2 linked regions of the Tribolium castaneum genome follow. The main gene of each other region encodes a partner of the protein of the gene in region 2 in a complex. Links are inferred from orthologs where the notes say so. Each region holds a gene or a part of one and is shown on either strand. Other genes may lie near its edges.

Region 1 (3,727 bases), about 6.0 Mb from region 2:
AGTAAAGAGGTTTGCGTTGATGCAACTTTAATTAGCTACTAACTGTCCGAAATCAATTTGGAACTGCGTTTGTTCCTCGTCGTAAATGCTTTATTTCTGTAAATACTGTTAACTTGAATCTTTCGTCTCTTTGCAACTTAATTAACAAAATAAATCTAATTTTAATAGAAGTTCGGAAACCGAAAAAAGTTTCAACTGTAAGCAAAGAGAGTTCACGCTCCAAAAACTTCATTAAATTTTGCATAAAAGTATAATAAATCGTTCACACTAAACGTGGTTGAATAAGTTTCGTCTTAATTGTACGATATCTTTTTTGGCTGCATTTACTCGCTTCACTGAATCGAATTGTAAGATTCGGTCACACCATCTGCTACAACGATTCCCTTCAATCGAAATAATGGAAAGATTCTGTCTTTATTAAAACTGCGGCACTGATAACGATTCTTCATTCGCTTAATAGAGTCAATGTCGCGATGAAACCAATCCAATGCGCTAATAATAAATCTCTCACTTTCAGTTTCATCTTGTTCCAAAAAATTTAGATGGTAATGCCAAGGCTGCACATACTCGTCTCTTTTAAAGTTCACTATTATTACAATTCAACAGTTGTCGCCTCAGTTGCGTGGGCGTCTTAAAATCAATTATACCATCATTAGCAAAAAACTGAGCGTGCAATAATTTCGCAACAAAGTCGTTAGAAGATCGTGAAAGTGTCGCAACACCACTTTTTCACGGCTGAAAATTAGAACTCTCGTAATACAGTCGTCGGAGGGTTCGATAGGGCAAGTTGCGGTTTTTCTGACTCAGCAAGTCCCAAACAATGAAAAAGCGCTCCCCTCGCAGGCGGAATTCTCCCTTCGCCGCCACCAAAATTGCATCGTGCCGACGTTCAGGTTAAGTGAAAACGTGCTTTCGTAAACATATATTTGAAAAATTCACCTTCGAGTCTCCGGTGGTTTGCAAATAGTAAATAATAACAAACATCCATGCCATGGAGAAGAGCAGCAAAACCTTGACGTTCCTCCTCATGGTGTCGGCTTCTCGGTCACAGTGCACTCAGAGTGTCTTTGAGGACCATCAACACCTCCTCGCGTTACATCTACATCCGTTGCCGCCGCAATACTAAAATCGCGGCGACGTTCGACATCGTGTTTTTGCAGCTTCTCCTCGTGCTAGTGAGACTTTCAACCGCTCTCTTTTACTTTCACGCGGGACCGACAAGGACGGTCGATGCCAGCCCCGTCCTCGACGAGTCCGCACGGCGACGCTCTTCGTCTCCTGTTCAATAACCAGAGATTTGTCATGGTGGCCCACAGAGGGCGTCGACTCGCTTCAATCAAAACGCTCCACAGCGAAATTTACGGCCAATAATCGGCCAATTTCAGTGTTTTAAGCGCCTTTCAGGCCCGCAATCGCTGGGTCACCCGGATTTCCGGTGATGTATCAATGTTTACTTGTACAATATTTGCCCTAACCCATGAAAAATGTCGGCACATGTTGTTTGTGTCACCTCGGGGGGTGGTCTGCCCATATTTTCCAGGAAGAAAGGGAATACGGACAGTGTAAATATTCTTAGGTTATGTTGACACCTAACAACTATCTGCTTTCACACCGAATGCCTGATAGTCTTACAACAAATTAAGCTTAAAATATACTTATACTAACAATGACTGAATAAAAAGTACAAAACTAGCTTTTTACAATGTCTTATGTCTTGCCCTATCTAAGCACTTAACTTAACCCTTTCACTACCGATAATGCAGATTAGCAATTTCGGGGATGTCCAAAATTTATTGGCGCCATTTTGCCTTAGCTGCCCTTTTCAACCATTGGGTCCCTAAATGGGGTCCACATGTTTGGCAAATCGCAAAAAATCACCCTTCAAAATACGGTAACTGAAGACTACTCTTTAGCCTGGAAGGAGTACCACGACAGGTACTAATCACAACTACATTTTCTTTGTTTCAAATGGTACTTTCAGCTTGGTTTTGATAGGGATATCAAGTGGATGCACCATCGAGGTGCTCACCAAGACCCTCGACTCGATTTTCAACGCAATCGTGTTAATTGTCGGAATCGAGGAAATCAAGTCGCAGCGAAATATCGAACGGTTTAAGAGAGAATTGCGGGTAAAAACCGCCAACAAAAAGTTAGTTTGTCGTAAAATTTTGTTCCAGATTTGCTACCCTTTGATCGATCGCCTGCTGGATTCTTTAGACTGTGGCGATTCTGGCAGCAGACACTCGTCGGATTTAATCGGACTGGTGGAAACGATTTTATGTCCCGAAAACCACTTGATTCAGGTTTTTGCCGCTCGTTTAATCTACTCGGTAAACAGGAAAGTAATTCCAGATCGTTCTTGACTCGTTTACCGAATGCGTCGATTCCTTATTTAGCTGCGTCCTTATTCATGGCAAAATTGCGGCTGCGACCAACAGCTGGTGGTCGCTGCACCCAGAAGAGATCAAGCTTTTGGCCATTCTGGCCCAGAGCGAGAACACGTCGAGTTCGAAAGACATCCCCGTTTTCCTGCCATACAAAAGCCCAACCGTACGTGGGGTGATTTATTCGTTTCGGAAATAATGGGGGAATTTAATTTCAGGTGGCTTTTCGTTTCGTTTGCTGTACTTTAATTCCGGACATCCAGCTGTGTTGTCTCTGCGGCCCCACTCCCGTGCTCTCGGAGGTGGAATTTTCCGCGACTAATTGTTTCAAGAATTCCGCAGATATTTTAAGTTCCGCCATACAATGCCACCCGCGCAACTTCCACTCGACTTGTCACATCGACGGCGGGATTTTGGGTTTACTGTTGGTGAACACGACTTACGGCAAATACATGATTACGAGAAATCCGCATCAGAATAGTAATAAAAAGAACGCGAGCAGCTCGCATCGCTTGGATATTTTACGAACGTTTTTCTATCAATCGGTTTTAACGTTCCTTGTGCCGAGCGAGGACTCGAATGAAGATGCGGAAATTTCCAATAAAAGTGAAGCGAATGTGGGGCTTGAAACCTACTGGTGCTCGGAGTATCATAAATGCTTCGCAATGAAAATCAGGGATAATATTCTAGCGGTTTTATTCAACTCGTCGATTCCGACGTTCGCAATGCGACTGATTACGGAGAAAACTCTCAAGAATTTGATCTCAGATAAACAAATTTGTTGGTGATGGTTTAATATATTTTTTGCAATATCTAGTCTCTCAATTCCTGGGGTACGGGTGGCGGCGTTGGGGGTGGTTTATTGTTCTTAACTCTGCCAGTGTAACTCCCGAACAACCAAACGGTGTAAGAACGAGCTCGTCCCTGAAACCTACGGCTCTCAAAATGAGCCGTCTGTATTAACCTGAACAAAATTAGAGTCACAACCTGAAAAAAATTATAATAAAACAAGTTTGATTTTGACGGAGTCCTACATACCTCAAGGATAATATAGAGAATTAAATTACCCACAATAATCCATCCAACTGTTTGTTTTTTTTCGCGGATCATTTCGTAACATCCTCTCGTCGAAATGCTCAAATTAAATTCAGGAGTGTACAAATATGCTTTTCCTGTGACTTCGATATTGTGGTGGATACAGGGAGAAAGTGATTTCATAGAACAACAACTAAACGGTGTGTTACCATCAGCAGCAGAACTTAAAAACCAATTTACTAATTAACGATGTTTTTATAATTGTCGCTTTCTACGCTAGATTAGGATACGGGTGATAAATAAGTTTT
Region 2 (4,118 bases):
AATGATTAAACGCCCTTTTTTATCAAAATGTTTGGCACGAGAAGTTCATTTTTGTGCCTATTTTCATTTCTACAACAAAAATAGCACTGACGTCGTTTATGTCTGCCCTTACGTATTCAGTAATAATTAGTAAAAAAGTGTCTCATTTTTCAAATAAAATGAGTGTTAAACAGGCGTTCACACACGTAATCTAGTGGTTCGTCCTTCTGTTGTGTTGAAAACAAATGCAATAATGTTGTAATAAAAATATTTATTTGCGAAAATACGAAGTTATAAAAAATAAAAAATCTACTCATTAATTAAATATACATATCAAATTTCGTTCCTCCACAGATAAAACATGTTAAATATATTTTAATACAATCTGGGGCTCCTTGGGTAATTTATTTGTACTTCTAACGGACGGAAACTGTCTTCAATTATTCTAAAAGAATTAAACAACCCCAAAATGCACCACTTTGATTTTGGGTTGCGCTTCCTCGCTCTCCCTCCTCCTCACAGGGTTAAAATCCTTCAAATAATCCTCATTTGGGTGACAAAGCGGCAAACTATCAGCCAACTCTTTCTGCGGATCGGTGAAATGTGGTGGCGGCGGCGGCCTCGCTGGCCGCTTAATCTCCGGCACGATAAACGCCGTCACCGTATCAGAAAACTTAACTTTCGGGGGCACCTTCTTAACCGCCCCCGTTGAGGGCAGCGGCGGCTTAAACACATTTCTGGGAATCCCCAAATTGGGCAACGGGGGCGCTTTAAAATTCGCCGGCACTTGCGGCGCCTTCACGAAAGTGGCTCTCGGGTAGGTCTTCGGTTGGGGGTTATTGAAGTTAGTTGTGAGGTAATTATCGGGGTTTTCGTCACTACTTCCCGAACATTGGGAGCACGAGGACCTGGTGCAGTTCGAGGCCTCGCTGGAGCAGCGACTCAGGAGGGCCGAGGCCTGGGCGCGGGCGGCAGCCGCCATCTCCGTCTCGCCGATTTGCACCGCGATGTAGTGCAAGTCCATGAAGAGGTCATGGTGCCCTAGGTCCACAGCCAAGAGGAAGGCGGTTTCGAACATTTGGGCGCGGACTAACTGGTGGAAAAAGCGACGAGTGAGCGAGAAAATTTGGGTGAAGAAGCGGGAACGGGTCTCGGGGTTCAGGGGCACCGGGGGGCTGTGGAAGCACCCGAGGGCGTCCTGGAGATACTTGGCGGTGTCGTCGGTCATTGGCTGGGAGAGTAAATAAGCGACGATTTTTTGCAACACGTGGAAACTTTCCTCGTTGAATTCCCAGCTTAGGAGAAGCCGAATGGCTTTATCAATTTTACCCATTTTTATGTAACGTTGTGAGAGAGATTTGAACGATAAAGACCGGTCAATGTGAGTGATGAGTAACATGGGGCCTTGCTCCAAAACCACGACTAAGTCTTTTGGGCCCCAACTCACCGAACTGATCGTAAATTGCGAATTGAAATAACCGGATAAGTCAATTAAAGCTGTTGGGGTGCAATCCTCCCCCATTATTTGTGACTTAACGCCGTTCAAAGCCGTGTCAAAATACTGCAATTGCCCCCTTTCATTCAAAACGGTCACAACAGCTCCCAGAGAATTCCAACGTGCGAACTTTGGTATAAACAACCCTTTAACCGTCCGAGTTGACCCCCTGACACGGTCCAATAACGCCAAAGACCCATCAATACAACCAATCAGGAGCCTAGTTTCCTGCTCATTTAAGGCACAGCAACTGACTTGTGTCTGAAGTGGGACCGAAATGACCGAAACCCGTTTCAAATTGGCCCCAACCAGCTCAAAATTGCTCAACTCGACTGAGACAGCCCCCCTGAGAGTCACCTTCTGTTCGATTACGAACAAAGTTCGGCGTATTGTCCGACTGACGATCACTTCAATGGGATCCCCGTCGGTTTTTTTGTACGCTAAGAGTTCAGGCCCCCGGACGCCCACCCAGTACAGGTGTAGATTAGCCCGTTGGTAGTCCTTGCCAAGGGGGCTCCAAGGCTGCGGGTGTTCGGCCTCGCATTTGCCCCAAACGGCAAGCCAGTCGTTGTGGAAGTTCAGGTGGCGTCGAGGGCCCCCTTCGACAATCCAGCCGTCTTTCCAGGAGCCCCCGAAGCCGAGCACGTGGCCGTCATTACAAATGCAGATGATTTGGGGGCCGAGGATAACACCGTCGCATAATATGTTGACTTGGAGTTTGGTGGCGAGGGATTTGTCGAAAGTGAGGCTTGTGAGGTCGCCTGTGGTGATGTCGATGGTGAGGGTGACGACCACCCCAGTTGAGAGCAGGAGTTGGAGGTGGTTGTCGGACCAAGAGAAACAGACGATTTTGTTGTGGAGGAGATACTCCTATTGAAAGAATGAGTGAGAGTGAAAGGGTGAGTGTGTGAGCTAACCTCGAGTTCTTTGAGACGGTCGCGGAGTTTTTGGGGACGTTTGTTGGGCAAGTGCCAGATGACACCTCGTTGGTCGCAGTACTTTTTTTTGCTTTGGTAGCAGAGGGAGTCGCTGGGATCTTTCTTAGAGTAGTATCTGGAATAAGGGTTTTTAGTTCGCTTTATGGGGTTGTGAGGGGTTTGGGTACTTGAATGATCCAAAATCTGGATGTTTTACGATGACGTCTTCTTGGGTGCTCCAGAAATGGATTTCGCTCAAAAGGGTCAACATTTTACGGCCGATTTTTGATTAAATAGTCACTTTTGCAAAATAAATGCTTCTTTTTGAGTCTCATCACTTCATTAATTCATAAATTAAAAAATTCGAACAATAATAATAATACCGATGTGTAAATTCCCCAAATCAGGGAATTTTGATTTATCACATCAGAGTAGCAAAGTGGTTTCAGTCTACATTTATTTATTATTAAGTGTGCTTGGCCCTATTGTAATTTAAATTTTACTTATGATTATCAAAGAAACATACCGTGAAAACGCAACATAAATTTTAAAAATTCAATTAAACTTCGTTGCATTTTATGTTAGCACACCTGGCTAACGCACTAATTTATAATCTGTCAAAGTGACAGGTAACCTCAAATTATTGGTGTTAAATTAACGAAATTTATTGTGAATATCGCTAATTTGGGGAGAGAACCGAAAAGACCTCCTATGAGGGATTTTGGGGTAAAAAAGACGGGTTAAAATCAGCCGTTTTATTTATTTGAATAAACTAAAGGTACAAATAAATGGTCATAACAATAATAAAATAAAATATGCGCAAACAAGTGTTAAGTTCGTTTGAAAATAAGGAAAAAGTCAAAAGCACACTAATAGTTTGTTAATGGAACACATTTGAACGAAAGTCTAACCTACTAAAAATGTAAATATGGAAAGTATGTCAGAAGACCTATTTTATAAAATTGGAAGACAGGCGCCAAAAAATATTGCCAGTAGTGATTACTGCAATAAAAGTACAAAACGATTTGGCACATAGAACCTTAAAAATACATACCAAAGCCAAGAATATTGGCAAAGCATAGAGTATTATTTACTAGATCAGGCAAAACTGGTATTGCTATAAGATATTTAGAATTCTCACATTCTAAACTAACAAAATCAAGTATCGCACTTATTCATTCAATTTCGGAAGACGGCCAAAAATACAATAAAACTCTTTTTGAAAAGTTGGAGAAATTGAATGATAAGAGTAATAGGAAAATAGCTTTGAAACGCACACACATTTTGAAACATTTATGATTGTTTCGGATCTTTATGTACAATAGGAAGAGCAGTATGTATCACGGGAAATAGAAAAAATATATTTACTCTACCCTACTTTCAATGATTATAAACTCAACTTGTAGCAATAGGAAAATTCTAGATGATTTTTTCTTATTCCCTATCACTGATACACGTTTATTGCTTTTCAATGAAATGACCAGATATCAAACACCAAAATGCCCCAACTCAGGATAAATACAGCGAATTTCAGCGCGGTGGAGCATCTAAGACAAATCAACAGCTTAAATATGGAAATAAATAAATAAAACAACAGAATTAGCTAAAATCAATATACATATAAATTACTTCCCCACTTAATGATTAGTTAGCCTACTTTGGTAACAGTGATAAAATTAATTCATTTAGATAAAATTTCAATCAGCGATAAAATCTTGCGGAAATTA

Evidence for each region. Proteins that work in one complex are often made in the same cells at the same time.
Region 1: the proteins of frtz (region 2) and fy are in contact, whole or in part, in a cryo-EM structure (PDB 7Q3D), measured with the Homo sapiens proteins. The link is inferred for Tribolium castaneum from reciprocal best matches to the Homo sapiens genes WDPCP and FUZ. Residues at the interface, in NP_056994.3 of Homo sapiens: Arg55, Ile57, Asn75, Lys78, Leu82, Glu418, Asp419, Arg420, Leu421; in NP_079405.2 of Homo sapiens: His293, Glu372, Glu373, Pro374, Arg379, Gln397, Pro399, Thr400, His401, Gly402, Ser405, Leu406.

The regions. Positions count from the first base shown.
Region 1 is NC_087402.1:7,504,279-7,508,005, forward strand, and holds fy (protein fuzzy homolog), read left to right. Parts: upstream 1-1,304; 5' UTR 1,305-1,484; coding exon 1,485-1,562; intron 1,563-1,813; coding exon 1,814-1,935; intron 1,936-1,981; coding exon 1,982-2,129; intron 2,130-2,177; coding exon 2,178-2,303; intron 2,304-2,352; coding exon 2,353-2,550; intron 2,551-2,602; coding exon 2,603-3,172; 3' UTR 3,173-3,196; downstream 3,197-3,727. Other genes in the region: Pgant2 (polypeptide N-acetylgalactosaminyltransferase 2), read right to left, coding at 940-1,029; rod outer segment membrane protein 1-like, read right to left, coding at 3,198-3,371, 3,423-3,642. UniProt on the Homo sapiens protein: Probable planar cell polarity effector involved in cilium biogenesis. May regulate protein and membrane transport to the cilium.
Region 2 is NC_087402.1:1,546,902-1,551,019, forward strand, and holds frtz (WD repeat-containing and planar cell polarity effector protein fritz), read right to left. Parts: upstream 2,850-4,118; 5' UTR 2,663-2,849; coding exon 2,580-2,662; intron 2,528-2,579; coding exon 2,392-2,527; intron 2,345-2,391; coding exon 434-2,344; 3' UTR 234-433; downstream 1-233. UniProt on the Homo sapiens protein: Probable effector of the planar cell polarity signaling pathway which regulates the septin cytoskeleton in both ciliogenesis and collective cell movements.